Linked DNA regions of Sus scrofa. The protein of the gene in region 1 purifies or fractionates together with the protein of each later gene. This does not show direct contact. Links are inferred from orthologs where the notes say so. Each region holds a gene or a part of one and is shown in the gene's direction. Other genes may lie near its edges.

What was found.
Region 2: the proteins of SMARCA1 (region 1) and POLE3 purify together in Homo sapiens (affinity purification with mass spectrometry; 3 studies listed by BioGRID and IntAct, with this or other methods). This does not show direct contact. The link is inferred for Sus scrofa from reciprocal best matches to the Homo sapiens genes SMARCA1 and POLE3.

Annotation. Positions count from the first base shown.
Region 1 is NC_010461.5:106,110,714-106,121,918, reverse strand, and holds the start of SMARCA1 (probable global transcription activator SNF2L1), read left to right. Parts: upstream 1-5,992; 5' UTR 5,993-6,198; coding exon 6,199-6,381; intron 6,382-11,205.
Region 2 is NC_010443.5:254,029,113-254,040,355, reverse strand, and holds POLE3 (DNA polymerase epsilon subunit 3), read left to right. Parts: upstream 1-4,131; 5' UTR 4,132-4,451; coding exon 4,452-4,517; intron 4,518-4,617; coding exon 4,618-4,703; intron 4,704-5,062; coding exon 5,063-5,181; intron 5,182-5,451; coding exon 5,452-5,624; 3' UTR 5,625-6,978; downstream 6,979-11,243. UniProt on the Homo sapiens protein: Accessory component of the DNA polymerase epsilon complex. Participates in DNA repair and in chromosomal DNA replication.

The DNA of each region.
Region 1 (11,205 bases):
CTTTCAGCCCACAAAGCCTGAAATATTTACTATCTGGCCCTTTACAGGAAAAGTTTGCTGAGCTCTGCTCGAGGTTGCTGGTTCTAAAGTGTGGTCCCTGTACCAGCAGCATCAGCATCACCTGGGAACTTGTTAGAAAGGCAGATTCCTGGCCACACCCCCAACCTATCCGTTCTGAAACTCTGGGAGTGGGTCCGGCCCTCTGTGTTTTGACAAGCCCTCCAGGTGATGCTGGTGTGTTAAAGTTTGAGAACCCCGGACTAGGCTGAGACCAAGGCGCTAATCCATTTTCTCTGCTGGTCACCATAGAACTTGATATATTGTTCTACACATAATGGGCAAGCTGTAAATGAGCCTTGAAAAGTGCTCCATAAATATATTATTATGCACATAAAATCTGTCCAAAATGGGGAGTTCCCGTCATGGCGCAGTGGTTAACGAAGCCGATGAGGAACCATGAGGTTGTGTGTTCAATCCCTGGCCTCGCTCAGTGGGTTAAGGATCCAGTGTTGCTGTGAGCTGTGGTGGAGGTTGCAGACGCGGCTTGGATCCCGAGTTGCTGTGGCTCTGGTGTAGGCCCGCAGCTACAGCTCCGATTCGACCTCTGGTCTGGGAACCTTCAGATGCCGTGGGTGCAGCCCTAGAAAGGACAAAATAAATAAATAAATAAATAATAACAACAACAACAACAACAACAAAAAGTAAAATATGTCCCAAATGGACACCTAGAGCAAAATTAAGAGAGGAAAAGTTGGGGAAACCACAGAAGGCAGTGTAATACCTGAAGAGTATTGTGGAGGGTGGAGGACACGATGTCACCAGGGAGCCAACCCCTGGACCCCTTCCCTCCACCTCATTTCATAGATCCTTTAAGCAAGGATGAAAGGGATATGGTCCCTTTCCTCAAGGAGGTCACATTCTAAGTAGGAAAGTGGCCTGATCCTCTTCTCCCTCATTTACCGCCTTTTTTATAACTTACCCTCGAAGAAGTGTCATTGCCCCAAATCGCCCTCCCTAATAAATAGTAACAGAGAACGGGGAAAATCACTTTGCAAACAGCTGTTCTGCCTCACCCCTCTTTAGTATAGGGCTGACTTCTGGACTAACTTTCTCATATCCTGTTTTTTCCCTTGGCTCAATCTGAAGCTCTTTTTTTCTTTTTGTTAACTACCATCCCTTGAGTGCATATTACATGCCAAGATCATGCTAAAGATTTCATGTATACTCGTACATTAAGTCCTCAGAAAGCCACTTTGCATTCGGTATCCTTATGTCCATTTTACAGCTGCAAATTTGAGGCTTAGAGAGGTTAAATAATTTGATAGAATTCAAACTCCAAGTCTTTCTGACTCTAGAGCCCAAGCTGGTAAAAATTGTGCTATTCTGCCTCTAACGATATTTGTCATTTGCCTTTAGCAAACCCATTTCAGATTATTTCGCATGTGTTTGTTTTAGGGCACGCATGGGTGTGGAGCATTTCAAGGTGGAAGTATTTAAAAAATCTGGCTATATCTTTTTCCTGAGCTGGGATTTGTGTGGTAACTTTTAAAAGTAAAAAAATCCTTTTATATGCAACTTAAAACGACGACGACGTCAAAAAAATAAGAGAAAGAAAACAGTTCCTTAACCAGGTAACATTACTGTAAACAGCACAATAATTTTGCTTTTTTGGGGGGGGGCACACCCTCGGCATATGGAGATTCCCAGGCAAGGGGTCTAATCGGAGCTGTACCTGCTGGCCTACACCACAGCCACAGCAACGCAGGATCCCAGCCGTGTCTGCAACCTACACCACAGGTCACAGCAACCCCGGATCCTTAGCCCACTGAGCAAGGTCAGGGATTGAACCTGCGTCCTCATGGTTCCTAGTCAGATTCGTTAACCGCTGAGCCATGACGGGAACTCCAACAGCACAGTAATTTATATTTCTTCCGCTGCATTCCACATTAAATAACTGCATTGTTTCTTCAGTATGAAATTGTTCTTTTCCCTTTTTTGACTCACCCTGTCTACTAGCTCTTTTTCCTTCTGTTAGAGATTATTTCTACTTGTTCAGTTTTGAGCAATATTTTTTGATTCATCTGCAAAGATCTTATATTTTCTGTATTTTTATTGACGTATAGTTGATTTACAATATTGTGTTCAAGTGTACAGCAAAGTGATTCAGTTATATGTATATATATATATATAGAAAATGTTATTTATTTATTATATAAATATGAACACCTTCATGGAGGAACATTAGAAGGAGTAGAAAGGCAAAAATAAGAAAAAAGTCACTCTTGATCTTACCACCTTGCTGTAAGTACTGTTAACATTTAGAGTGGAACCTTCCAGGCTTTTTCCTTTGTGGAAATCTATTTATGTAAATTATTTCTCTCTTTTAGCAAAAATGGGGTCACTCTGTTTTCTTGCTCGCCTTTTTTTCACTCAGCAATACATGAGAAGCATATTTCCATGTCATCAGATATTTACATAATCATTCATAATGACTGCTTCGTATCCCTTTTATGAATGTACTATACAATATTCTGCCACACACTTGTTAGGTTTTCCCCCTCCCTGAACTCTAACTGTCCTTAATCCTTTGCTGTTCCAAGAATTTACTTTGGGTGCATGCAAGAATCCCCTGTTATTCTCCAACTTCCACCTTACAACAACTTCTGTGTGGAGCTAAAGAAATTATCTGGCTGTATATAATACCAGAGCCTTAAGAGTGACAGTTTCTTCTAATAAACCCAGAGTGAACATCATGGAGACAATTGGCAGAAATATTTTTCAGTCGTTTTCTCAATATAATTTCTACTGTCAAGAAGGAATCCTTGTGAAGAACAGAGAACTTAATAAAGGTGAAGCGGAAAGATGACGTTTGGAGCCAGACAGTCTGGGATTTGAATCTGGCTTCTGTCACTCACGAGCTGTGGGACCTTAGATGAGTTATTTAGCCTCTCTAACTCTCTGTTTTCTGGTATGTAGAATAGGGATAATAATTTTAATTTCATCAAATTGCAATGTCATATGTAAAAACCTAGCACAGCTCCTGCTACAATAGTAGGTGCTCAAGAAATGGTAGATGTATACTGGCTGTTACCATTACCTTTTGCTTAATGTGCACCGAGGAAGTAGCTCATTTTTAAAAATGCCACTATCATAAGTGTCCTTAACAAGAATGGAGAGGGAGCTCATTGATATGAACAGGATGGTTACTAGAGCGGTAAGCAAGATACTGTCATCAGAATCCTTTGTACCAGCTTCTGAAGAACATTGATCCGCAGGATCACAATGTCATTTTTTGTCATACTGTGGCTTCAGGGATAAATTTCAGATATAGGATAAGAGAAGGAACACCAAGCCCTTGACCCTGCCTTCATGCACTTTGTAATTGTATTTGAAACCACCACTGGACACGCATTCTGGTAGCTACGAAACAAGTTTGACTATGTGAAAATGACGGCTGGGTAACTCCCACAGTGTTCACACTCTGCCCAAACAGATGCATTATTCCGTAGACAAGGATGTGTTCTGAGGTTTCCACATAGGGCCCCAAGGTTCTCTATAAAATTTTGCTTTGTTCTCCAATCTCAGTGGAGCAGAGCAATTCAAGACCGTTTCAAATGAAAAGACATAACAGGGGAAAGTAGCAGCAGACAGAGTAAGGTGTTGAGTAGCATCAGAAATGAGGATCAGAAATGACGTGACTCTTGTAGAACAAAGTCTACAGATCATGAATTTTAGGTAGATTTGCAAATAAGGATAGCACATGCTCTGTAAATAGCAGTTGTTGCCACAAGCCAAAGGGCAATATTTACATGAATCCCGTGGCAAGGTCTAGGGACCAAACATTGACCTTTCCAGCCAAACTTATACTTGGTAGCAATTTCAGCCCTGTCATTGTGAAAAGGAAGGATCACATTATACATACATGGAAAATTGCCAATGTCTCAATGCTTTTTGCCCCTTCCCCCATTTATTTCTAAATTCTCTTTTGGAACTTGGAACACAGGTTCCCACAGGAAAGGTGTTATGCAGGGATGTGAGTTTCCCAGATTCCTTCACAAAAGTGCATTTAGCCCACCATGTAGCTGAAATATCACACACTGGCAATGAGAAATACAATCAAATAAAGTACCCTTGCAAGCAGGAACACACACATCAATACACAACAAATATTTCTTGAGCCTTTCTCCTTTGAAGCTCCAAACAATGAAAGGTGGATTCTATCCTCCTATAGCTGCAGTTTGGCGATAAAGAACTCTTCCATTGCCTTTATCTGCAAGATTCCTTCTCAAGTCAGGTGGATGCATGCATTGCAGCATCCTTCTCTTCCAGTGAATTTTCCCACCAGACAAGGCTTAATGACTCAGGAGACTGACAAAACTTAGTGGCGAAGGGGTAGGATATCCAACTCAAGGTCTCCAGCTTTTATTTGGAGACACTTCACACTGCAGTTAAATACATCTGTACATTTTTTAAAAATCGTGTTTCGAATGACCTGTTACATGACTTTATTCCATCCCATTTTTGTTTTAAAGTTGATGCTTCAGAAATATGAACTATTTTTAATACTGAGACTCCACATACCCGCTGGAGAGTACATATGTGTACTCTAGGGTGAGAAACGTGGACACCGGGGGCAAAATCTAAAGTGAATGAGAACATAATGGATGTAAAATCAGGGCAAAGCTAAGCACCACACCAGCCTCTCCTTTCCTCTCAGTGGCACAATCCTTCAATCACCTGTGTCTTGCTCTTTGCATCTTTCCCTGTTCAAAACCAGTCCCTGAACAGGATCTCACACTCATTCACACTAAGGTGTAAATGGCCAATAACAGCTAAAATGTCACAAGGTTTTTGCATATTAAGGAATTACAGCTTTAAAACAAAAAAGAAATTTAGGGTATCCCAGGAAAAAGGGATGTATCTGGAGGACAAATGTGTGCCTTCCTGCTATTTGCAGAAATCACACTTGATTTCAGATTGGTAACTTAGGAAGGTGTGTTGAGGGAAATTAATCATGCTTTCTTCATACTTTGGAAAATAGATGCTTCATTTTCAGAATTGTAGGTTTTGTGATTGGTGTTCGGTATACTGGTTTTCTGTATGTTTTGCTACCTTTCGTCCCCAATGACTGAAATTTTAAGGCTGAGATGTAAATCTTCCTGTTATTGATCAAAATAAATGGTGGGGAGAAATGGAAACAATAATATTTAATAACTGACGTTTGCATACCCTTTACGAAATGCTCTTATATCCACGATTATGCATATTACTGGTGTTGAATTACTACTAAACAACGGGGTAGGAATAGAATACCAAAACAATCACAATAATTCAGTTCAACTGCTGATGTTGGGCACCTACCATGCGTTGCCCCAGGTTCTGTGGGGACATTGACCTTGCCCCCCAGAAGTTTTTAAAATTCATTGGTGAAGGCAAAAGATGGGCTCCTGCACATTGGCCATCCAAGAGGTTTCAGAACCGAAAATAGAGCGAATATACGTAAAAACCGAGTCACACTTTGCCTTGTAAGTGAATGTTTGCAGCTGCAATCAAGAGATTCAAGGAATGCTTCTCCTGCAGAATTTACAAAGGTGGGAAGGGCACCACCAGTCCCCCTTTGGGGATCTGGGAAAGGACAGTCCCCAGAGGGGATCTGGGCTTTGCAAATGGTGAGACAGACCTTCTACAGTACAGTTATAAGCAGAGGAAAAGTTCTTTGTGCAAGAAGGGGAGAGCGCCCCGAGGTACAAAGAGCAGATTTAAGGGGAAGAGGATTCCTTCTGCACACATCTGCGAGGGGAGCTCGGGCTGACTGTTGGGGGCGTGTGGGGAAGGAGATTTTTTAGGGGGCCGCGGGCTGTGGGTTCCCGCCTCCACCCCAGTCCGCGCCCCACGCTCAGGCAACAGTTGGTCGTGCGGGGACGGCCTGGGCTCCGGGTGGGGAGGGGGAGTCTCGCGATCGTTGAGGGGGGGTGGAGGAAGGGGGGAGGGTGACGGGGGGAGGCCATGACGTAGGGTGGGTGGACGGAAGTGGGGCAGGGTTGAGGGTTATTTAAAGAAGGGGGGGCCGAGCGAAGGGGTTGGAAGCGAGTGATTCCCCACCCCTGCTCCATCTAGCTCTTTCCAGTGCAGCCACTGCCGCCGCCCAGGAGCCCTCGTCCCCTCGCTCGTTCCCCTCTTCGTTCCCGCTCCAACGCCATGGAGCCGGACACCGCCGCAGTGGCAGCCACCGTGGCAGCCTCTGATGCGACCGCCACGATCGTGGTCATAGAGGACGAGCAGCCGGGGCCGTCCATCTCCAAGGAGGAGGGAGCCGCCGCCGCGGCCACCGCGTCCACCGAAGCCACCGTGGCCACGGAGAAGGGCGAGAAGAAGAAGGAGGTAAATAGGAAGGGGGTGTGTGTGCGGTGGACAAATCCTGCGCCGGGCCCCTCGGAGGGGCCCAAACGCTGACCTTTGGGCGCCGACAGGTACCCGCGGAGCTCCGCAGGGTTGGGGGCGGCGGGCGCGCGGGGTGGGGGCGGCAGAACAGTCTAGCATTCGCTCCCCTCCCCCTTCGCTTCTCGCCGCCTGGAGGGCGGGGGCGGGGCTGGGGCGCGGGCGCGGCGCGGGGCGGCGGGTGCCCGTTATCTCGGGGCTTGGGGGCTGGGGAGCCCTCGACAGCCCCCGGCCCCTTTGGCGTTCCCGGAACTGGGGTAACGAGGTGGGGGATGGGGCCGTGGAGGAAAAAGCCTCCGCCTCCCCCTCTCCTCTCGCTCGCTCCCTCTCCCCCCCCCTTCCCGTCGGCCTCTGCCTGGGAAATCTGGGCCCTTCAATCCCACACTCAGGCAAAAGGGGTTTACTGGGGGTTTATTTTTTAAAATTTGAATTTCCAGGTGCCGGTGGTTGGGAGGAGGAGGACGATAGGAGAGACGTTTGTTTCTTTGATTGGCAATGTCGGCCTTTGGGGTGGCAGGGAGAAAAAAAATCCCTTGTTCGTTTGGTCCCCGCCTGCTGAAGCGGGGGTGTCACCCCGAGAAAACGAGCTCTCAGCGTCGTACCACCGCCCCCCCCCAATCCAGATCCCAAACTGAGGAACCCTGGACGCTGGCTTAGGAAAATTTCCAACGTGTGCACCCTCACCCTCTCCTGCCCCGCCCCCGACGGTATAGTGTTTCACTCCAGGGCCACCCAAATGGTCCCCCAATCCGGCCCCAAGCCTTCCAGGCTTCCGCCTCCTTTTCCTAGTGGGCGCTGCTGGCTCCTGGACACACGCAGGTTTTTTTTTTTTTTTTAATTTTGTTTTTTTAAACCCAGCGTCGCCAGGATGAATTGCTGCTAATGTACATAAGGGGACCGCTGTGACACCTATTAAAGCCAGATCCAAAAAAATACGTATTATCTCCATAAGGCGTATTTCATACGGACTGAGACGTGCAAGTAGAACTATGAAAGGCTATTGAAATATTGGAATAAAAAATTAGGTTGAGGCATAAGGATTTTGATGTATAGTAAAATTGTGGAATGGATCGTTTATGGCTGGATTTTTTTTCCGTTTACGAGTAGACATATCGCAATTAAAAAAACGGTAGGTAATTAAAATTATGCTTTAGCGATCTCAAGTGGCTTTGTTTGAATCATTATATGATGCTCTACGACCAAATGAAAAGCTTTTGAGGGAAATTAACACCTTTGGCCGTGAATTAGAGTAATTTTAAATTCAGCAGTTGCTTAAAAGTGACGTATTTTACTGTTACAAGGTTGACTAAACAGAAAGACAATTGTAGCGCTAAGTGAAAACCATAGAAAACATACGCATTTTAAGATCTGTGTGGTACTTGGATCAGTAAGACAATATCGATGATTAAAGCTGGGCCAAATACCAAGCATCGATGATATAAATCAATGTTGGGAAATTCAGGAATGTGTCTGGATACCTTTTCTTCCCTAGACTGGGCGAATGTAAGTGCTTGGCCGTCTTTTGTATGGCAGTAAATGTTGTCGAATTTCCAGGGTATATGAATTTTTGGAATTGTGAAGAGACTGGTAATCAATAAAAAACGTGTATAATCACTGAGTTGATGCATATATATTCGTGAACTCTGTGGCCTTATCAGAAATTGCACTAGTAGCACCTCATTTGTTGGCTCGGCATAGAGAAATGAGGTGCCACCTGGCAGGAACTTTCTGGATATCTGAATCTTATTACTTTAGTCACTACGTCTTTTTTATTTTGAATTTTTCCTTAAAAATCTGAATTGAACCACAACATCTACCTAAGTGCTTTTATTTGTTCTATTCCTTCAAATAAGGTAATTTTGTCTCTCCCCCAATATGAATATCATTTTTAATAGCATTTTTTATTCTTCAATTACATTTATAGTTGTACAATGACCATTACAACCAAATTTATAGCATTTCCATCCCAAACCCCCAGTGCATCCCCCCACTCCAGATCTAAATATCTGCACACTACCTTGATTCCTTAAATGGTGTCCTAAATGTACAGATTAACCTTTTCCTCGTGTCTCCCAGTTATTGTACTCTGACACCCATACAAAGGCATTTGAGATTTAGGAGGTTGTTTCCCCTCCAATAAACACCTTCCAGACACTTCCAATATTGCGTTGATTTTTTTTCAAAAATGTTCAGTCTCCTCCCTCAATTGTCAGGCTGTTAACTATCACTTTTTAAACACTTCATCTACTTTCATTAGAAAGAATTGGCTTATGATAAAGGACATAAGTGAAACAAAACCTTTCATTTAAAACAATGGTAAAAATACGGAGTTCCCGTCGTGGCTCAGTGGTTAACGAACCCCACTAGTATCCATGAGGACGCTGGTTCGGTCCGTGGCCTCACTCAGTGAGCTGTGGTGTAGGTCGCAGACGTGGCTCAGATCCCACGTTGCTGTGGCTGTGGCTGTGGCTTAGGCTGGCGGCTACAGCTCTGATTTGACCTCTAGCCTGGGAACCTCCACATGCAGCTGGTGCAGCCCTAAAAGACAAAAAATAAAATAAAATAAAATAAAACAATGGTAAAAATACAAGCCATCTAGCCAGGAGAGGGAAATAATTATTCCTGAACACCAAGGAGATGGGATGTTAATGCATTGGAACTTAAGGTTTGGTTCTGGGCTTTCATGCCATCCCTTCTTGCTGTTGACAGTGTGTCTTCTTCTAGTGGTCTTCCCCACGTCATTTGCTACTGCTTTCATTCTCTGTAGAATGGGAAGCCATATTATCAAACTTGTTGGACTTGTACATCAAATAAAAGGAGACAGGCTCTGAGTGAGAGCATTTTCCTAATGCATAAAGTACATGAGACGGGTAGTGGATTGCCTTGTGATGTTCAGCCCCAGAATGGTATTTTTGCTTTTAGCTCCTGGTTCTTGAACTTCCTTGGTTTAAGTGACAGTTGGATAACCTAACACTGTGAAAATTGGAGTTGGTATTTTTGGTAATGAAAATGTCAGGAAGAAGATCATGGTCTTTAAGACAGGGCATCTTGGTGACCTTGTGCTGCCTTCTTATGGCATCTAGACCACCAGATGATAAGATCCATAAAGAAATCATTAGAATATCATGGTCATCTTTTAGCTTTTCTTGTATGAGAGGTGTATTTGTGAAAACATATACATAGACAAATGGAAAGTTTTAGAAGGTAGGTATTCTAAAATCGTTGTGGAAGATAGTGCCAATTGAGTAATTACCTACATCTTTTTAATGGCAGTGCTCAAGATTAGGATTTTAATTAGCATATGATTAAAATCTTATGGTATTCTACCGCAAGGTAAGCAAAACACTGAGCAGAATGTTTTTCTAATATTAAAACTTGAATTTTCTATAAGTGAAATTTACATCCCACATTATTAGATGTGTGCTTGTGTATATGAGGGGACGTAATTTTGAAACTTGAAAACTAGACCTCATTTAGCTTTTCAAGGAATGATAAAGGTATGGATTTTGCTACCCAATTTTCCGTACTTGTTGCTTTGAAAATAATATAGGATTTATAGTATATATGACAGTTTGAAAGTGTGGTATTGAGGGGATTTTAGTAGTTTCTGTTCTCATCCATCCAAAATTATATTCAAAACATCTCACATAGATGATATATGCATATGAAATACTGTAAATCAAGACGGCTGTTACTTGGATTAAGAATAGTGGAACAGTTGTTGGTAGTGGACAAATAACATATCCTGGGCAGGTGAACTCAACCTGGTAGATAAAAGTTTGCTTTGGTCACAGTTGCCTATAAGTATGGGTTTCAAAATGAGCATAAAAAAGCAAAAAACAGAATAAAGGAGTTCCTGTCTTGGCTCAGCGGAAGCAAATCTGACTAGCATCCATGAGGATGCAGGTTCGATCCCCGGCCTTGCTCAGTGGGTTAAGGATCCGGCATTGCCATGAGTTGTGGTGTAGTTCAGCAACTACAGCTCTGATTCAACCCCTAACCAGGAACCTCCATATGCTGCAGGTGCAGCCCTAAAAACACAGGGGGGAAAGAAAAAGCATAAAGCCTTAACTTTAGAATTTCATTATGTTTTAGAATCATCACTGCCTTAATGTTCAAACACCTATTAACTTCTCCTAGTAAAGGACAAATACATGTTTATTTATGGATTTTTGTAAATATATATGCAATGAACTATGGCTTTAAAAATTCTTTTGTGCATTTCTGTGGCAGTGTTTGTTAATCCACCCAATACAGTTATTCACAGAAAAATGACGCATGTAATAGTCCTTCACATACAAGAAAGAAATGTTTTCCCTCAAAACTTTAATTACCTGAATTGTTCTAAGGTTATTTGTAAAGCTGAAACTCAGTGATGAAAGAGAAGTGAGAATTCCGAAAACAACAACAACAACAGAACAAGAATCACTGAATAATATCTGATCAGTGCTCCAAAGGAGAACCCTGACCCCGGTCAAATTCCATAATCTTAGTTTGGATTTCCTCAAAGTAGAAATTTTAGTAAATGTTGAAAAACATTCATTAACTACTGGACCCATGTTTTTCTTATGTTTAAGATCACGTTCTTCCGTTGATTTATGACCTAACCTTTCAGGAACAGGGTGTCAAAAGCCATGATCAAATGGACATAATTTCTTTGGTTTTCACAAACAGATTTGTATTTTGACTTCTGCAAAGTCTGTGTTAAAACTGAAATACCCTTGGCTTTGTTACTAATGGGTAGATTTATGTTTTTATTATTTTATT
Region 2 (11,243 bases), on another chromosome or scaffold:
AAAAAAGAAATGCAGGAGTTCCCGTCTTGGTACAGAGGAAACAAATCCAACTGGGAAGCATGAGGTTGCTGGTTGGATCCCTGGTCTCGCTCAGTGGATTAAGGATCTGGCATCGCCATGAGCTGTGGTGTAGGTTGCAGACACAGCTCAAATCCTGCATTGCTGTTGCTGTGGCTGTGCTGTAGGCCAGCAGCTGTAGCTCCAATTTGACCCCCAGCCTGGGAACCTCCATGTGCCTCGGGTACAGCCCTGAAAAACAAAACAACAACAACAAAAAGAAATGCAGCATATATGGACAGTTTTCTAAAGATCTACAGAAGCTGGTGAGACACTCTCTGTTATGGGCTGAATTGGGTTCCCCAAAATTCTTATGTTGAAGTCCTAACTCCCTCTTAACTCTGAATTTGTATTTGGAGATAGGGTCTTCAAGGAGACAATGAGGGTAAAATGAGGTCACATAGGTGGGCTCTAGTCCAATATGACTTGTGTGCTTGCAAGAAGAAGACATTCAGACACGGATACACACAAAGGGACGACAGTGTTAAGACACAGGGAGAAGAGGGCCACTAAGAAGGCAAGGAGAGAGGGCTCAGAAGAAAACACCTCTGCCAACACCTTAATTGGACTTCTAGCTTCTAGAACTGGGAGAAAATTAATTTGTTGTTAAGGCACACAGTCTATAACAACTCTAGTACTTTGTTATGGTGACCCTAGAAAACTGAAACACCTCCCCCATTTTCACCAACTCCTACACTGCAAATAAGGCTTCTTTGTTTCCCACTGCCTATTCATCACTCCTTTAACTGAACTGATGTCACGCTTAATCTAGCTTTCCCAAAGTCTACTATATGGGCAAAGGATGTCAATCAGGAATTTTGAGGTAGTAAGCCCTTTAAAGAAGATTCCATGATAGTTTACCTGCCTTGAAATTTCAAGTCAAACTTTGAACCTTGGGACAATAAAGGACGCGCCTTGGTGAACGCAAATTTTGACAAATGACGGTGAGCAAGCCTCTTGGCCTCGAAGCAGGAATCGGTGAGGTTTACAACAGTGAGCATTGGGAGTCTTTCTGAAAGACCAGAGTAGAAGAAAACACACAACATATCAAAAGGGAGCCAAAAAGAAATAATCCGAGGATCTTGTAAAGAAGGAGACAGGGCTGGCTAATTCACCTTCAACATTCAGAGGTGGTTTGCAGGAGGAGCTTAGAATTCGAGGGTGGCCCCTCTCAATCCGGCGGATAGCTGCCCAGCATTGCGGATGCTGACAAACAGCCAGGTGACACGTAGTTTCATCCCACTGGCTTTCATCTGGCAAGTTCATAGCCACAAATGGTTTAGGACAAAAGCCAATCTTGCAGCTTTCCAGCCCCCTGGAGAAACAACCACCAGATAATTAGGGAGTATTATATATCAGTCATGCAGACCAAATATTTAGACTCAAAACATAAAATATTTCCTCTGAACCATATAGATAAATGGTAGCCAAAGGATAGTTAGGAAGTGGATAATAAGCAAGTATGAAAAAAATCTCAGCATGGATTAGCAGAGTGACAAGAGTTTGGGTGCAGACTGACTTCAGAAGGTCTCCTAATTGGCCATTGAATTAGCAGCTGAGTGACCTGAGATTTAACCAATCTGAGCTTCGATTTCCTCATCTGCAAAATGAGGATAAGCCCATTTCACAGGGTCATCACAAAAATTAGTTAATGTATATCAAAAGGTCTGGCATCCTTTCCTTTTTCCCATCATTAATCATTAAGAAGAAGATGCCACCCTCTCCAAAAAGCTTTATCAAATTACAACTAAGGTACATGAGACTTGATCATCCACGGTTTTTGATACACACAGGGGCTCCTGAAACGGATCATCTGCAGATAACGAGAGACGGCTGAGTCACAGAAGTGTATTAGATGGCTCAAACCTTCGGAAGATACACTTTATTTTTCAGTATGCTCCAGTTTTCATACAGGTAGCTAAAACACCCAGCAGAAAGGAATGGGTCTGCTTCAACAGCAAATCAATCAACCCACAGGTGAATCAGAGGCCACTGGCTTTTCATTGACTAGTTGTATGGTCTTGGGCAAGTGACAAGTGACTTCACCTTCCTTAGCCTGTTTTCTCATATAAAGTAGGGGAGGGGATATCCCTAAGTAGGACTGTGGAAACATTAAATGAGATAATGTACTTTTACGTATGATATACAGCAGGTGGTCAATAAATGTTACCATCTTTCTCTCTTTAGAAATGTTTAGACAATCTGGAGTTCCCATCATGGCACAGTGGAAACGAATCCGACTAGGAACCATGAGGCTGCAGGTTCGATCTCTGGGTTAAGGATCTGCATTGCCGTGAGCTGTGGTGTAGGGCAGCAGCTACAGCTCTGACTGGACCCCTAGCCTGGGAATCTCCATATGCCTCTGGTGTCATCCTAAAAAAAAAAGAAAGGAGTTCCCGTCGTGGCGCAGTGGTTAACGAATCCGACTAGGAACCATGAGGTTGCGGGTTCGGTCCCTGCCCTTGCTCAGTGGGTTAACGATCCGGCGTTGCCGTGAGCTGTGGTGTAGGTTGCAGACTCGGCTCGGATCCTGCGTTGCTGTGGCTCTGGCGTAGGCCGGTGGCTACAGCTCCGATTCAACCCCTAGCCTGGGAACCTCCATATGCCGCGGGAGCGGCCCAAGAAATAGCAACAACAACAACAACAAAAAGACAAAAGACAAAAAAAAAAAAAAAAGAAATGTTTAGACAATCACTACCACCTATCTGCAATAAACTTTTAAGTGTCTATTTCCTCTTTCTTTTACTCAACACATTTATTGACCACCAAATATGGGAAGGGACCTGTTATGGGCATAGAGAACAATAATGACCAAAAAAAGTCCCAGTTCTAAAGAGTTTATAATATAAGCCAAAGATAGCAAACTACTGGCCTGGGATTGCACCTGGCATATAACTTGTTTTGTATGGCCTGCACTTTGAGCCATTATTTAAAGATGGAAATAGCCCATAATGTTCAGATTTCTGGGTTCTCTCAAAGGGGGGTCCAATTCCAACTAGACAGCCACTGGCTGGAGCTGTGTACCTCCTGACATCTTTAAACCATGTGTATTCTAGTCAAGTGGAGCCCTCCCCCACCAAACCCCATATTCTCTAAGAGAAGAGTTTCAGTTGCCATTTATCACTGCATTTGCTGTTGTTTTTCTCATAATAGGGAAATAGTTCTCTGTACTCATGTTTCTATCAAAAACAGGAAAACTAAGCATGACCTGAGGCAGCAGGTTTCAAGGAAAACAACTGTTCAGTGGGAGTGAGGAGAGTTTCTACTACGTAATATGAAAATGATACAACTTAAAAAGCCAATGCAGTATTTCTCTTGTGGCGCAGAGTGTTAAGGGTACCTCCCACCTGAGTCACTGCTGTGGTGCAGGTTCCATCCCTGGCCTGAGAACTTCCATATGCAGTGGTCGCCCCACCGCTCCCTCGGGGGGGGGGGGGGGGACCATTGTAAAACCATGCTGATGCTTTTGACTAGGAAAGATGAACGATGATCAAGTCAATGAACTAAAACATAAATACAAGTTTAACAGGGTTTGTTTTTGAATGCGAATGTTATTCTTAAAACCGGCTGCTTATGGACCTTTTGTTACCTGACCAGCTCGAAGTGAACCCCAAGGTCTAATCATGCCCATCTTTTTGTTGCCAGCCCTACACTGTACTGACAAAGTAGTCTGCATTAAAAATTTTAGGTTAACACTTATCCTTAATACCATTATTACAAAGTTGAGAGCGGTGAAAAGATTTAAGAGGGGATATCAGGGCCTGGAGAGTTCAATAAAGATTCCCTGCTTCCAGAAGAGGGAAGTGGGAGAATCCGGCCAAGGAGGGCCGCGCTTCCGCGGAGCCAAAGCAGAGGCCAAGCGGCTAGGAAGCCGAAGCCTACAAGGAAGACGCTGCTCCTCAACCCGCGGTGAAGACAGCAGCGGGGCCAAGCGCCAGGTCCCGCCTCTCTTCCGAAGGGACCCGCCCCGCCGGCTCAGTCCACGCCTTCGTCTCCCAAGCCAGCCTCCGACAGCACCGTTGCCAGGCAGCGGCGCAGAGCACTATGGGAAAGGGACGGAAGCCCCAGAAGGCCATACTTAATTTGCTAAGCAAGTTCCAGACGAGGTGGTGGCGTGAAGCAGGGAAGCGAGCTTGGGAAGGGGCGCCAGGTGCCGTTGTGGCCTGATAGAAACCCCTAGGGCTAAAACTAGCGGCGTGGAAAGTTCAGATGAACAGACGACTGCAGTCGGAGGCGGGGCTGGGGGAGGAGGGAGGATATGGCGCGCGGGGCACTGTGGGACACGGTGTGGGCAAAACGGGGCGGAACGGAAGCCTCGTTGGGTCAGACGGTGGCGACGCGGGAAGTCCGGACGCTGTAGCGGCCTGAAGAGGAGGCCGGCTCCGGCCGTGGCAATGGCGGAGAGGCCCGAGGACCTAAACCTGCCCAATGCCGTCATCACCAGGATCATCAAGGAGGCGGTGAGCATCTCCGGCTGGCGGATGGGCCAGGGGCGGACGAGCAGGCAAGGGTAAAGAGGTCCTGGGGCAGTAGCTTTGCTCACCCCCTCTCTTGTCACAGCTCCCGGAAGGTGTCAACATCTCCAAGGAGGCCCGGAGCGCCATCTCCCGCGCCGCCAGCGTCTTCGTGTTGTACGCCACATCCTGGTGAGGCGGGCAGAGCTAACCAGAGCTTAGCTGGGGGCTGAGGCTTAAGGGAGACGCAGACACCCCCCCCACCCCTGGTTCGGAGTTCGCGGCCTAGAACCCGCAAACCCCAATAATTATGATCTTCCCCAGTGGAGGGAGGTTCAGAGTCTTCATCCAGGTATTGCAAGCTGTGGAACAAAATAAAACAGAGTAACTTTGCCTTACCCTTTTGTACAGGGAAGGGAGGGACTTACTGTGTCACCAAAATCCATGTATCTTAGACTTGGGCATTTCCATTCCACCTCTGGGTCGTCCTTTTCCCACTCACTGCATACGGGCCAAGAAGGATTCTGACAGCCCTTAATCTTCTTGTTCAGCGCCAACAACTTCGCGATGAAAGGGAAACGCAAGACGCTGAATGCCAGCGATGTTCTCTCAGCCATGGAGGAGATGGAGTTTCAGCGGTTCGTTACTCCCTTAAAAGAAGCTCTGGAAGGTAACGACCTCTTCGTTTACTCAACCAAGTAGATGTTCATCCTGTATGACCTGCTCACTTGGCCCTAAGTCTTCATTAGCTTGAGTCCCTTTAGGTCCAGTAAGCAAGTATTGGGTGAGATTCAAATGGCACTACCTCATATCAGTTTTGTGATGCTGGGCAGGTTATTTTTCCTTCTGTGCCTCAGTGTTTCCAGTTATGCAGTGGTATTAGTGGCTGCAGTCTGTTTGGTTCAGCCTTGTCTCCCAACTCCCTCCTTCATCCTTACAGCTTATAGAAGGGAGCAGAAAGGTAAGAAGGAAGCTTCAGAGCAAAAGAAGAAGGACAAAGACAAAAAAACAGATTCAGAAGAGCAAGACAAGAGCAGGGATGAGGACAACGACGAAGATGAGGAAAGGCTGGAGGAAGAAGAACAGAATGAAGAGGAGGACGTGGACAACTGAAGAGGATGGGGAGACTGGCGCCTTGGAAGGTACAGCTCTGAAACGTTTGTGTGCAGCTTTTTCCTGCTGGACAGAGTAGTCTTGGGCAGAAGAGCCTGAGAAGATGGAAGTAAAAACTGATTAAAATTATCATCAAAACCAGCGTGTCCCAGATTCAGAGCATCTGAGTAGCAGAATCTTGTTTTGCTTCATGAGCCTGAAGGTTATGACTTTTTGGCAGGAGGGATTATGAACAGCCAATTGGTCACTGGGAGCATTTTTGTTTACTTACGTACATAGTTAGGCAGTTGTTGATCCCCAGGTCCCACCCATTCACCCACGGCTCAAAAAAGTAACAAAGCTTCCATGCCACCTACTGCGTTCCAAATCACAGAAGCAGTCAAGACTCAGGAAAACCTGGGGCTTTGCTTATAGACAGCCTATTTGTACAGTATTTGGCAATACTAGCTTCTTACAAGTGATCAGAATGACTTAGCTTTAGGAAACCACTAAAGGGTGTAGAACAGTGAAATCTGTTCTTTTGTCTCTTCACTTGACAGTAACATTAACTGAATTTTGGTTTTTACAGACCCACTTGGCTTAGAGCCCTTCTCTATTGCCAGTAGGCATGTAACCCGCTTGGGTGGCTACCTTCTGGGCACCAAATGCATTTACATCAGCAGTGTAGAGTAGAATTAGTCAAGCAAGATTGCCAATGTGTCTTACAACAGATGGTGTAGTCTTGAATGCACCTCACTGCCTGCCATTGTACAGCTTTAGGGTATGTGGTCACCTCCTGGAAGGTATAAAACTCCAGGCTTTCTCTTGTAGTCCCGCTCCCGGATTTGTGGTATGGCTTTTCATTCTTCTAATTCCTGATGAATTCCAAACTTTCTTTCTTCTAGGTACAACGTTCTTGCTCTGTGCTTCTCTCCTGTCTCTGTTCTGCCTCTCCTCTGCTCCCCATTCCCACTTTCTGTCCCTCCTTTTTTCACTTCTGCCAGGAACTTTGATGACCTGCTTAATATCTCAAACTATGGGTTCCTCTGATTCCCTAGTTCTAATCTCATGTCTTTTAAAAATGATTTTGTAGACCTCTCTGAACGTTAAGGGAAATCCGATGGTGCTCAGGAATCCAATTCCTCCCCCAAGCCATCCCTTCTAAAGTATCTCTGTTAACCTTATTTTCTTTCCATTTGGCGCTTCAAGCACTTTTTGTCTCTAAGTTGAGTGCTTGGAGGTTGACAGGTAGTGAAATATAGTTTGATGCTGTTCATTTGTTAAACGAATCCAGTGAAAAGTTTGTCAAGAAATGAGTGAAGGATATTGAGAAAATTATAATGCCTTGTATAAATAAAAAACATTCTTGTAAAAAGTGACGTCTCCTATTTCATCCTACTTGTTTATAAGTGTGCTTTTGGGGAGGACCCACTGATCATGCGCTGCAGTTTTTAGAGTGTAGACGAGGACAGACCCTTATAAATATGAGGTCCTGGAGTTCCCGTTGTGGTTCAGTGGTTAACCATGAGGTTGCAGGTTCAATCCCTGGTGTCGATCAGTGGGTTAAGGATCCAGCATTGCCGTGAGTTATGGTGTAGGTTGAAGACACGGCTCGGATCCCTTGTTACTGTGGCTCTGGCACAGGCCAGCAGCTACAGCTCTGATTTAGACCCCTAGCCTGGGAACCCCCATGTGCCATGCATGCAGCCCTAGAAAAGACAGAAAAGACCAAAAAAAAAAAGAGGTCCTGCATCATTGGATGACTGACCAGCAGATGCTGCTTGTTAACAGGCAAGGGTGCTGCTCTTCAGTCGCAGTGAGAGCTTTCTTTGGCCTTGCTAAGAATTCATACATACCCGATATTCAACAACTCCAAACACGGAGTCCCTTCTCTGTGTCTGACTCTGTACTAAGTGCTTTCAAATATTAACACTTAAACCCTATGAAAGAACATTGAGTTTATCTCCATGATTTCAACTAGAACTAGATAATGTAGTCATTGTCTCTAACCTACATAGCTCTTTCAAATCATGTTTCACAGATCGACAACCCCAACTGTCAGATCCAGTGGCTTTTTCCTCCACAGCAGAAATATCTTTTTGTTTGTTTCCTCTCATATTTGTATGAAAGATAAAGTTACTCATTATATTTGTTTTGCATTTCTCCGTTGAAATTTATATTGATGATTCTTTTTTTTATTTTTATATTGATACTTCTTTTCTTTTTGGCCATGCCTGTGGCATACGGAAGTTGCTAGGCTAGGTGAAAGTTCCCAGGCCAGGGATCAAACCTGCACCACAGAAGCAACCCAAGCTAATGCAGTGATAATGCCAGCCGGATCCTTAATCCAATGCACCACAACAGAATTCCTAAATTGATGGTATTTATTTTTTTCTTTCTTTTCTTTTTTTTTTTTTTTTTTTTTTTTTTTTGGTTTTTCTAGGGCCACACCCAAAGCATATGGAGGTTCCCAGGCTAGGGGTCAAATCAGCCGTAGCTGCTGGCCTACACCACAGCCACAGCAACGCCAGATCCTTAACCCACATCCTCATGGATACTGACTGGATTCACTTCAGCTGAGCCAGGATGGGAACTCCCTGGTGATATTTCTATAGCAGTTACAATGTCACAGTATAATGCCTCTGAGAAAGTAGCATACACTGAGTCCTACATAGCTGGTTATTTTAGTGACATGATTATTCTTTTCAGTGGACTTCAGTTTTTTCATCTCTAAATGGGCAGTATTAATACCTACCTTGAAAGGAGAGGGGGTTTTGTTTGTTTGCTTGTTTGCTTTTTAGGGCCTCACCTGCTGCATATGGAGGTTCCCAGGCCAGGGGTCTAATTGGAGCTACAGCTGCCAGCTTACATCACAGCCACAGCAATACCAGATCTGAGCCACATCTGCAACCTACACCACAGCTCACAGCAACGCCAGATCCTAAATCCACTGAGTAAGGCCAGGGATCAAACCCATGTCCTCAAGGATACTAGTCGGGTCCATTAACCACTGAGCCACGAAGGGGACTCCTGAAAGGATAATTTTAAAGGTAACAAAATCATCGATAACAACATTTTTTTAAAAAGATAAAATTTGGGGAGATCCCATTGCAGCTCAGAGGTTAATAACCTGTCTAGCATCCATGAAGACGTGGGTTCAATCCCTGGCTTCATTCAATGGGTTAAAGATCCGGCATTGCCTGCGGCATAGGTTGGCTGCAGCTCCAATTTGACCCCTAGCCCGGGAACTTCCATGTGCTGCAGTATGGCTATAAAAAGAGAAAAAAAGATAACTTTCAGCACTGTACCATGCATATAGCGAGGCCTTGTTTTTTACCCCACTTTCTGTACACATTTTTATTTCCCTTCGTATTAATAGAATGGCTTCAGAATTGGAAGATCATTTTTATAAGAAGCATTGAGAAAGAATCAATCTAACTGATATTCACCTCTAAGATAATTAATTTGTTCTCTCTCATAAGAGTAGCCTAAGAAGAATGTAAAGTCTGGAAATTATTATACACACGAAACACTTGTACTCTGATGAAACTGAAGACTAACCTCTGTGGCTTCTAGTAGACATCACAGGCACTGCCATCAAGTATATAATTGCCTTTGAAGCAGAAGAACATCATTTAAGGGATACTGAAATAGTTCAAATGTAATCCCAGTTTGTTCATCTTATATGAATATATTCCTTTCTAATTGTGTAACTTTTAAATTTTATTTAATACTGATTATAACAGGTTTCATGTGTACAACATTATATTTCTACTGCTGTATACCCTACAACATGCTACTCACCAGAAATGTATTTTCCATCCTTTACCATACTGTTCATTCCCTTTACCCATTTTTCCCTTCCCCTCTGGTAACTACTGCTCTGTTCTCTGTAGGTTTGGTTTGATTTGTTTGATTAGTTTGGTTTGGTTTTTATTTGCTTTAGTTTTTAAGTTCCACATATAAGGAAAATCATACTGTCTTTCTCCATAGGACTTATTTCCCTTAGCACAATAACCTGAAAGTCCATTCATGTTGTAAGTGGCAAAATTTCATCTTTTTATGGCTGAATAATGTTCCGCTGTATGTGGGTGTGTCTGTGAACATATGTATATACACACAACATCTTTATTCATTTGTTGTTGGGCACTTGGTTGTTTCCATATATTGGTGATTGTAAACAATGTTGGGTGAACTTAGGGGCGCATTAAGTTCCATGAGCACCACCCAGCTAAGCCCTCAGGTCCCATCTGGACTTTTGTGGCTTCCTTTGAGCTCAGTTTCCTGCCTCATCACTGCTTCCCCTAGCTTCCTTTGTGTACTGCTTGCCAAGTGGGACTTCCTGGAACATTGCTATGTTACAGTCCCTCACTGCTTTCTATTAAATCAAATCCATAGCTAGACCTGTTACTCCATGGACCTTCTTCCATTGTTTCTACTCCAACATAAGGCTCCAGTCAAGAACGAATCCTCAGGGAGTTCCCGTTGTGGATCAGAAGTAACAAACCCAACTAGTAACCATGAGGACTCAGGTTTGATTCCCTGGTCTCACTCCAGGGGTTAAAGACCTGGCATTGCTATCAGCTGTGGTGTAGGTCTCAGACACAGCTAGGATCCCATATTGCCGCTGATGTGGCTGTGGCATAGGGCGGCTGCTACGGCTCTGATGCCCCCCCTAGCCTGGGAACTTTTTAGGTGTGGCCCTAAAAAGCAAAAATAAATTAATCAATTAATTTAATTAAATAAGCAACTTAGTGGCACTTAACACATTCCTAGCCACCACTTCTATCTAGTTCCAAAACATTTTCATCACCCTGAAATAAAACCCCATACCAGTCAAGCAGTTACTCCGCCTGCTTCCCTCCCTCCTTTCTCTGGCAACCACTAATCTTTAGTTCTTTTTATGCTCTTGCAAGCATTTAGCATAATGTCATGTACCTACATGGGAGGCACTCACAATAGTTTAGTGGGGGCTTCGGGTGGGTTTTTTTGTTTGTTTTTTGTTTCAGTAAGTATAATACACATATAAAGAGGCGCAAATAAGAGTAGAGCTTGATAAATTTTCGCAAACTAAACACATCCATGAAAGTTACACTGGGATCAATAAACAACATGACCAGCACTATAAAAAAGACCCTTTGGTCTCCCTTCTGGTCACTTCCTATCTCCCCAGTAGAAGTCACTATCCTGATTAATTTTGCTAGCACAGATTAATTTTTCCTGGGCTTGTACGTTATCATAAATGAAATCATACAGTCGTACAGTGTCTGACTCCTTCTGTTCAATGCTATATTTAAGATTTATTCATAGTGTTGCATTCACAATACTTTTTATGGATAAGAGTGACAGATTAAGGAAAAATATTTTATTATTATTATTATTATTGTTATTATTATATTGCCTTTTAGAGCTGCACTCACTGCATATGGAGGTTCCCAGGCTAGGGGTCTAATTGGAGCTACAGCTGCCAGCCTACACCACAGCTCATGGCATCACCAGATCCTTAACCCACTGAGTGAGGCCACAGATCAAACCCACAACCTCATGGATCCTAGTCAGATTCGTTTCCGCTGTGCCATGATGATGTCCTGAAGTAAAATATTTTAAAAGGTGATTCCTGAAGTAAAATATTTTAAAAGA